Linked DNA regions of Arabidopsis thaliana. The protein of the gene in region 1 interacts with the protein of each later gene in a pairwise test. Each region holds a gene or a part of one and is shown in the gene's direction. Other genes may lie near its edges.

Region 1 (5,275 bases):
TACAAGGGTTTGGTGAAACTTGCTGGGAGCTTATCGAAGCTCATTCTCAGGCCCCCGAGAAACGACCTAACAAGATTGTGATATTCCGTGATGGTGTCAGCGATGGTCAGTTCGATATGGTTCTCAATGTGGAGTTACAGAATGTTAAGGACGTTTTTGCCAAGGTTGGCTATAATCCGCAGATAACTGTAATTGTGGCACAGAAACGTCATCAAACCCGTTTCTTCCCCGCCACAACTAGCAAAGATGGAAGGGCTAAGGGCAATGTGCCTTCAGGTACGGTCGTTGATACCACGATCATTCACCCGTTTGAGTATGATTTCTACCTCTGTAGTCAACATGGAGCGATAGGTACAAGCAAACCAACTCATTATTATGTTCTTTCGGACGAAATCGGGTTCAACTCGAATCAGATTCAGAAACTCATCTTTGACTTGTGCTTCACGTTTACTCGCTGCACCAAACCGGTCGCTCTGGTTCCTCCGGTTTCTTATGCTGACAAGGCTGCTTCTAGAGGAAGGGTGTACTACGAGGCAAGCTTAATGAAGAAGAATTCTAAGCAGTCGCGTGGAGCGTCTTCGTCTTCTGCCTCGGTTGCCTCTTCATCCTCTTCTGTCACAATGGAGGACAAAGAGATCTTCAAGGTTCACGCAGGCATCGAGAACTTTATGTTCTTTGTCTGAAAAAAAGTTTGATCTTAAAATATTTATCTAAATAAGAACGTCTCATTAACGCAGTTCTTACTCCTTTTTCTGATTAGAAAGGATGTTTGTGCGTGAATCTAATCGTTAGATATGCAGTTTGTTTGTTTCCTTTTCGTTGTTGGTGTGTTGAAAATAGTTTGTATTTGGTATTGTAATGCTCTTTAGAGCTGAAACTATGTCATGTTATGGTATTTTATTATAGTTTTCAGACTTTGGATTCAATAAATAGTTCATATTTTGCTACTTCTCTGTTTTGTGAAGGGCTTGAGAACTCAGACATGAGTACTCTAGTTTTGGGTTTACATGTTCTGCCTTGTGTCTGAAATTCCTTTTTTCTAAACCATCTATTCATGTGGAACATTATCTATAAGGTTATTTTGTGTAATGATCAATTGATCATGCATCTCTACTTTTTTTTTTTTTTTTTTTCTTTTTTTTTTTGTCGTCGATCATGCATCTCTACTACATATGCATTCCAACAAAAAAAACATAATGGTGCTCTTGTTTTCGATATAATATCAGTTATGGGCTCTCTGTTTTTATTTTATTTTATTGGACCTTACTGATATTTCTTGGGTTCATGAACCATAGCTATACCAAATCATTAAGGTGGATTTTGCACGATTTCTCAATGTTTAATTTCATGTATTATATACTCATTGATTGGTTGTTTGCAGAATCTTATTTACTACATTGACTCTCAAGAGTCCCCTCCTATATTTCATCAAATCTATCTTTTCATTTTATAATTTTTATGTAATGATAGATTCCTCATAAATGTTTCTTGAAAACTATAAAAAGGTAACTAACATTTTTTTCCTATATATATATATGTGTGATATATATCCCATATAAAAAGTAGCAACAAGAAAATGATTTTAGAGAAGTGATACCAAACCAAATGAAAAAGACATGATAGTCGAAGTGATTCACACGAATCGAACTATAATAATCTATACTCTATCTTATTCACATTTTATCATCTTTTTGTGTTTCATGTTATTTTCTTATGTATATATTCATTTTTCGTATATTCTTTTGTTTTTATCAAAATAAATTCATTTTTCTTTTTACCCCACTCATTAACATAAGTTAGCCATATATTATTATAAGATTTTTTTCTTGCCAAATAAATGTAAGAGTTTCTTTTTCCCACAACTCATTAACAAAGTTTGGCATATGTAAAAAAAAGAATGAATTTTAAACCTAATACTAGCCTTTAAAATTCAACAATTATTTTATTTTTATTTTCTTATTTTCGTGCAACAGCTGGAGTGTTTTTTTTTTTTTTTTTTGTGTTCCCAGAGATCGAGTGTTTTGTGTTTCTTCTCTCTATCGTTCACATTTGATTAAAGCTAAAGCTTTCTTCTTCTTCAATTGATGCTACTTCTGATTTACCCTTTCTCTGCTTTTTTCTCTCACTCTCTCAGTTTTCTCCTCCTTGATTCCTAAAGTCTTCTCCTTTGCGTGCATTTCTTCAATTTTCAGATTCTTCCTAAGGTACCCTTCTCAAAATTCTTCCTTGTTTTGCGATTCTTCATCGGTTCAATGGATCCTCTTTGACTTCGATTTTGAATCCGAGCTTCGTTATCCCTCGATTGCTAATTTCACTCTTTTGTTTAGGATTCTTTCCCCAATCTAGGTATTGCTTTGCTTCTCTGTATCTATCGAATCTGCATTTTGTTAGTTTCGAAAATTTTGAAATTAGGGTTCATTTGTGATTTGTTCATACATCTTTGTTAGATTGCAGAATCTGTTCATCATTTTTCGAATTCACATAACTCAGATTAGTTTGAATCTATTGAGATTGAGAAATTTCTTAAAAACTCTGGATTTGTGTGGATTAAGATTAGTGTTTTGAGATTGATCTCTTTGTCAATATGGTTTTTTTTGGTGTAGGTGGTAGAATGATGAAATGAGAATCGATAGATAAGAGTTTAAAGAGCACCAGAATCTTTGTTATCTTGCAATGTCGACGACGTCTTTGCAAACGATTGGTGCTATTAAGTCTTATCATCATCAAGCTCAGCATTTGGTTAAGAATTATCTCTTAGCTGATCCTTTTATTCCTTACACTTCTGTCCTCACCGGCATTTTCCTTTGCAAAGTGGTAAGTTTGGATTTTTGTTTGTTACTTTCATGATTCTGTAGATCTAGGGACGATTGATTAATGATGGTTACGTTTCTTGTTTTGTTTGCAGGTTTATGATCTTTGTCATTTTATCAGCAACTCACATTCTAAGACTTATATCATCCTCACGAAAATTCAAAGAATCGAATGGAATAACCGGTTTGTGTTTGATGATTGTTAACTCTTTTTCATGTTGTGTGTGTGTGTGTGTCTATTTAGGTTTTTGAATCGTTTTGTATTGTTTGGCAGTGGTATCTCGACAGTTCATGCTATTTTTATTTCGGCTATGTCGCTGTACTTTGTGTTCTGGTCCGACCTCTTTTCCGATAGGTGGCATAATGATCTTGTTGTTTTCCGGAGCTCACGACTTTCTTCTCTTGGTTTAGGGGTAAGCACTCATTTTAGTGGATCCAAAAACGTTAATGTAAAAGTCTATGAGAGAAGAATTTCAACATTATTACATTAATGATTTGCAGATATCTATTGGTTACTTCCTTGCTGATCTTGGGATGATCTTCTGGAAATATCCTTCTTTGGGTGGAATTGAGTATGTAAGTACTTGTTCTTGTCCAAACACTTTACTCTATCTAGTGATTTCTCTCCAAAGATATTCAAAATCCTCCTTATATTCTGCTTGTTGATGTTTCAAGGCTTATATACTTGCCTTGCTACATTGCTCAACATTACTAATGTGTAAAGATAGCTAACGCCAGTCGCCAAAAGCCCAAAACTAAGATCAAGTTGACATTTTGATTTCAGATTGTGCATCACTCGCTATCGGGGGTTGCAGTTGCCTACTCTTTATTTTCCGGGGAAGGACAGTTATATACCTACATGGTCCTCATCTCCGAGATTACAACCCCAGAGATCAACTTGAGATGGTACTTCCTCTTTTCTTCGTTATACCATATACAAAACTTATCACGTTCGCAACCTTTCTCCTGACAAAAAAGTGGATTGTCTCGGTGGTCTTATGAAGGTACCTGGACACGGCTGGTATGAAAAAATCATTGGCATACGTTGTTAATGGCGTTTTCATCTTCTTGGCTTGGCTGGTACTTACAAATCCTAATCAACATTCGACTCATTTTGATACTAGGCATTTATGTGTCTACTTATCACTCAAACACTTTCATGTCAGGTTGCTAGAATTCTACTGTTCATATACATGTTTTATCATGTTTATCTCCACTACAACCAGGTAAAGCTCACTATCTAGCGGTTTTATTGATTATGCTGATACCCAATTGCTTCAAAACCTTCCCCATGAAATTAATACATCACTATGGTTTCATTTCCGGATTTTTTTTTATGGTGTGATTGAAATGGAATTACTTTGTTTTGTGGGTAGGTCATGAGGATGCACATCTTTGGTTACGTTCTGGTATTCGGCGTACCAGCTGCGCTCGGTGTCATGAACTTGATATGGTTCGGGAAGATTGTGAGAGGGGTAAAGAAAACATTAGCAAAGAGATGTGAATGTTGAGATTGGTGAGTCTTCCTCACACCGTTTCTTCACTTCATCATCTCCTTACTTCTTCGTCCCTCTGACATATGCCTGTCTCTCTAGTGTAAGTAGTTTTTGTCTGATGAAGAAAGAAAAACGAAAAAACAAAAATGATAATGATACGATCCTCTGACTCTGTAAATGATCAAAATTCAAGTCTCTTCTTTACGTTTTCTCATTATACAATGTAATTCTGTTTTCATTCTAATAGTTTTGGTTCTAGGGTTTTGATTCAATTTCTGCTACATTTCGTTTAACCGGAGTTCGATACAGTACTACCAAAATGATGAACAACTGTTTGGTGTTCAAGTTCTATGGAAGAGAAAACATTTGGTCACCGGTTTACTATTTTTTTGTTCAATATTCTCAGTAACAACAACATAACTATTGCACATACATCAACATAGGGATTGTAATTAAATAGTTAGATAAAGAATCAAAGTTTAGACATTATAACAGCTAGCAGAAAATAACATAGTGTAGAGTTTGGTGGAATACATGTATTTAAACTCGGCTCGTGAAGGCCATTATATGTCTAGCTGTTCGTGGTTATCGTCGGCTTATAGGCCCATTCAGTGAACACAACTGCACAATATGTCACATGAATTGCGTATTCGTATGTCGACATCAATGAGTTAGGATAATGTACGGATACAAACAAAGCTATGTGGCTGATTCTGTATTTAGTCTTGTTTACTTTAATTTCCATTGTTTCTATAAGAAAAAAAAATAGTGTTTCTTTCTTTTCTTTTGTTAAAAAGAATAGTGCTTCTTATTAGAAAAAAAAAAAAAATGTCAACACTATTCATTCTACCGGTTTTGATCCGAATAGTGATAGAATAATGACATTTTTACACAAATTATTAGAAGTTAATCGGTGTATAACCACATAAATAAACCATATAATCTAAAGTTTTTTGTTTGTATATCAGT
Region 2 (4,708 bases), about 18 Mb from region 1:
ACTTTGGAATTGTAAAGAATGAACTAGATTTTAACCCGCGGTACACCGCGGAGACAATTTATTTTTTTAAATTAGTATATATAAAATTTTACAAATTATGTCTATCTATAAAATATTTTTATTTTATAGTTTATAATTGTTATTAAGTAACGTCCTTCTAAACCCGTTCCACCAAACTCGTCCTGTAAAAATAAACCGCGGTACCCCGCTAATTTAAATTTATAATTAAAATAAATATTTTACGGGATTGCAATTGTGTTTTAGTTTGTCAAACAAAATTTTGTTTTAAATAGTTGTCGAAATGTAGTTCAAATTTTGGAGACATAAGATTTAGTGAATAGATAAGAAATATATTTAGTTGCGTTTCGCTCATTTTAAGGGATTGCAATTGTCTTTTGGGTTGTCAAACATTTTTTGTTTTAAATAGTTGTCGAAATCTATTTCAAATTTTGGAAAAATCTGCGTGATATATGGGATTGGAATATATTTCGAATGTTTTTTTATTTGTTAATCAATTTATTGCTAAAAAAACAATAATTAAAAGCCAATGGTAGCCATTGTAAATAAATTCCAACTCCAGGATTTATTTCACAAAATGACTGCAACAATGTATATATAGATTCTATTTTTATGAATATAATTCCCTTTATATTTGGAGACTATTTCCTTTGAATGATGACTTGTCTGAATACAAATCTTCTCGTAAGTCCTTAAAGGATATTTGGTTTCCCACGAATCAAGCCAATACAAGTTTGTGTATGTCATTTATGTTTAAATGAGTTTAGTTGGCAAAGTAATCAAAATATTTCATTTCGAGAAGAACATATAGCTTACACGCCTCATAAGTTAGTTACCTACAGAAACTTATATGGTGGGGTGATATACTTTCGGATTCTAGGTAAGATATAGTATATGTGCGTTACTATTGCTCATACTATAAAAATCACCTTTTGGTTTTGAGTTATCATTTTGAAATCTACACATGATTGCGTGTACTCATTATTTAAAGTCGGCATAGATTTCTCCATATATATGTCATGATTCCATGAATGTTCTTTTAACATCTTAATGCGATAACACTTTACATTGAAATATTCAAGAAAAAACCAAGCTGTTTTCTAAATAAATTTAGTTTGTCCACGGTTAATAAAATTTAAAATTAGCGAAATACGTAAATAATCAAATGATATAACCAAAATGCCTATTATTTTTAAAACAACATTTTATTTTCTCTAATCTCATAAAATACTCTAATAAAATCTAGTTGTAAGTGAAAATAACACTAAGCTTCAAACACACACGTACATGAATGTTTGTTTTTTTCTTTCAAAAAAGCTGAACAATGACATTTTAAGTCCAAATGAAAACGATGGTATCATCTTGGACTTCCAATTTTCCATTGCCCATATTTTCTCTTTTCTTTTGTTTTTATCCAATTGGTATCGAATCATTCATATAAAATTATAAATCATGAAGTCAAATTTTTCAATAGTAACACTTGAGTAATAGTGGTCCTACCAACTTTTTACCAAGACAGATATATTTTTTTTAATACACTTTTTACCTTTTACTGTGTTTGCCTCAAATGAGTGTTTTTACCAGTTTCTGTGTATATAAATCTGCACTCCACTCTCAGTTTATCTTCATCCACAAGACAGTTCTTTAACAAAGTCATTAAACATTTCCCTTACCTTCTAAAGATCAACTCTTTCAAACACTTACTCTGCATGTAACTTCATAGATTGAACGAAGAACCAAAAAAACAGAGCAAAACAAACAAAAGATGGTTCAAAACCACCAAACAGTTCTCGCCGTCGATATGCCACAAACCGGCGGCTCCAAGTACTTGGACGACGACGGGAAAAACAAAAGAACTGGTAACAATGTTTCTCTCTTTCTCTTTAATTCATATTGAGACTTGGTTCTCTAATTATTCAAAAAAATATTAATTTGAACTCGAAACCTGCTCTGATTTAGTTATGTTGAAAAAACGAGAAAGTTGAAAGTTTTTAAATTTTGGGTTTTAGGGAGTGTTTGGACGGCGAGTGCACACATAATAACGGCAGTGATAGGTTCGGGAGTTTTGTCACTAGCGTGGGCTACGGCGCAGCTAGGTTGGCTCGCCGGACCGGTGGTGATGTTGCTCTTCTCTGCCGTCACTTATTTCACTTCTTCTCTTCTTGCTGCTTGTTACCGCTCCGGCGACCCTATCTCCGGCAAGAGGAACTACACTTATATGGATGCTGTCCGATCAAATCTCGGTAAATACAAAACTTCAAAGTAGAAATCGGACAATGGAGATCAGATCAGAACAGAGCATTAACATTTTTCATTGTTCTGTATAGGTGGCGTGAAGGTGACGCTATGTGGGATTGTTCAGTATCTTAATATCTTTGGTGTTGCTATTGGCTACACAATTGCTTCAGCTATAAGCATGATGTGAGTGTTCTCACTAATTAACTCTTAAAACTACGAAGTTAGGTAATGGACCAAATAGGTTTTGATGATAATAAAAAATAAACAAAATTTTGTTTTTGAAAAACAGGGCAATAAAGAGATCAAACTGTTTCCACAAGAGTGGAGGGAAAGATCCATGTCACATGAACAGTAATCCTTACATGATAGCTTTTGGATTAGTCCAGATTCTATTCTCTCAGATTCCAGATTTTGATCAACTTTGGTGGCTCTCAATCCTCGCCGCCGTTATGTCCTTCACTTATTCCTCAGCCGGTCTCGCCCTCGGCATAGCCCAAGTTGTCGGTTCGTTTCTTGAACCATAAAGCTTCTAGGGTCTTAAATAAGAACTTTCATAGGTAAAAAACTAATAGGTTTTATGTGTTTTGGTTTCATCAGTTAATGGGAAGGTGAAGGGAAGTCTCACTGGGATTAGCATAGGAGCAGTAACAGAGACACAGAAGATATGGAGGACCTTTCAAGCTCTTGGAGACATTGCTTTTGCTTACTCTTACTCCATTATCCTCATCGAGATTCAGGTACTTATACCTTCTTTACAAGTCTTGATGATCAAAGCCATTAATTACTGGTCCCATCATGAAGCTTTTTTTATTCTGGGATCTGAAACAGGACACAGTGAAGTCACCACCATCAGAAGAGAAGACGATGAAGAAGGCAACACTTGTGAGCGTCAGTGTAACGACTATGTTCTATATGTTGTGTGGATGTATGGGATATGCAGCCTTTGGAGACTTGTCTCCGGGAAATCTCTTAACCGGTTTCGGGTTTTATAATCCTTATTGGCTTCTTGACATTGCAAATGCAGCCATTGTGATTCACCTTATTGGTGCATACCAAGTCTATTGCCAACCTCTGTTTGCTTTCATCGAGAAGCAAGCTTCCATTCAATTCCCTGATAGTGAGTTCATTGCAAAAGATATCAAAATTCCAATTCCTGGTTTCAAGCCTCTCCGCTTGAATGTCTTCAGGTACAAATCTTGCCTTTAAACTAATGGGATCTGAGTTTTAAACATGATGTGTATGTAATAATCAAAGCTTCTGTGTGGCGTGGAATGGCTTACTCAGGTTGATATGGAGGACAGTGTTTGTGATCATAACGACAGTTATCTCAATGCTTCTTCCGTTTTTCAACGACGTTGTGGGTCTGCTCGGGGCACTAGGGTTTTGGCCATTGACGGTGTATTTTCCAGTGGAAATGTACATCGCGCAGAAGAAGATACCTAGATGGAGCACCAGATGGGTTTGCCTTCAAGTCTTCAGCTTAGGGTGTCTAGTAGTTAGCATTGCTGCAGCTGCAGGGTCCATAGCTGGAGTACTTCTTGATCTAAAGTCCTACAAGCCATTTCGAAGCGAATACTGATCAACTTGAATAGTAGCCAATTCAAAGCGATGACTAAGTCAGTTTTAAACACAATGGATTTATCAAGAACAGTCAAGAGAACCAAGAACCATGAATTTGGGAATTTTGATCAGCTTTTTTTTATATAGATAGAAGCAATAATGCTGTTAGTTCTTCTCTATAATCTTCTCTGTACCCTGAAGGCAAGAATTGTAGTCCTAATGAGTAAATCTTCGATTAATGACAGAGTCATGTGCTGCAACAGAATCATGAACTAGCACCATAATAGTATATTACCATTGTGGTAAAATTTCAATAACAAGTTCTTGTACTTGCTCTTCTTTCCATGATCTGATATTTGCCGTATGAACCATTCACTAAGGCACACAAGTATGGATTATTTAAGCGAAACAATCACCAGAGCAGTGCAGTAACAAAAGATCAAGACTTTATCAATGCCATCATAACTTACATAACTGAGTCATACATATCAATTCGCTTATTCAGTCTACAACTAGCAAAGATTTCTAATTCCTGTAAATCACATACTGTAGATTCCACATTCGAGGTCCTCAAATATCAACTTGCAGCAAGAAGCTTTTGCAACTGACCACTCTCCAAAGCAGCTCCAAGATCTGAAGCAACAAGATAAACAGCCAAGGCTTGTGAGTTACAAGGGAAATTTGGACAAAAGAATGAAACTTGGAGGAGATAGTGAGCTCATCATACCATCTGATCCACCAATATGCTTGCCGTTAACAAAAACTTGCGGGACAGTACGACGACCAACGAATTCTAAAAGCTCATACTGGATTTGATCTCCGTCCTCTGCAAAAACAAATCTCTCAGAAGTTTTAAGAAACAGTTCAATTCTCATAAACAGTTGGGTGAGAA

What was found. Proteins that work in one complex are often made in the same cells at the same time.
Region 2: the proteins of AT1G31300 (region 1) and AAP3 interact in a protein complementation assay, tested with the Arabidopsis thaliana proteins (one large-scale study listed by BioGRID).

The regions. Positions count from the first base shown.
Region 1 is NC_003070.9:11,191,635-11,196,909, forward strand, and holds AT1G31300 (TRAM, LAG1 and CLN8 (TLC) lipid-sensing domain containing protein), read left to right. Parts: upstream 1-1,990; 5' UTR 1,991-2,204; exon of another isoform or gene 2,205-2,346; intron 2,347-2,603; 5' UTR 2,604-2,673; coding exon 2,674-2,814; intron 2,815-2,905; coding exon 2,906-2,994; intron 2,995-3,084; coding exon 3,085-3,223; intron 3,224-3,311; coding exon 3,312-3,386; intron 3,387-3,594; coding exon 3,595-3,716; intron 3,717-3,814; coding exon 3,815-3,890; intron 3,891-3,976; coding exon 3,977-4,036; intron 4,037-4,186; coding exon 4,187-4,321; 3' UTR 4,322-4,763; downstream 4,764-5,275. Other genes in the region: AGO3 (ARGONAUTE 3), read left to right, coding at 1-683.
Region 2 is NC_003070.9:29,074,328-29,079,035, reverse strand, and holds AAP3 (amino acid permease 3), read left to right. Parts: upstream 1-1,645; 5' UTR 1,646-1,783; coding exon 1,784-1,877; intron 1,878-2,027; coding exon 2,028-2,261; intron 2,262-2,345; coding exon 2,346-2,439; intron 2,440-2,545; coding exon 2,546-2,760; intron 2,761-2,853; coding exon 2,854-2,993; intron 2,994-3,084; coding exon 3,085-3,443; intron 3,444-3,540; coding exon 3,541-3,835; 3' UTR 3,836-4,157; downstream 4,158-4,708. Other genes in the region: AT1G77370 (Glutaredoxin family protein), read right to left, coding at 4,394-4,449, 4,544-4,708. UniProt on the Arabidopsis thaliana protein: Amino acid-proton symporter. Stereospecific transporter with a broad specificity for GABA, tryptophan and both neutral and basic amino acids. High affinity transport of cationic amino acids.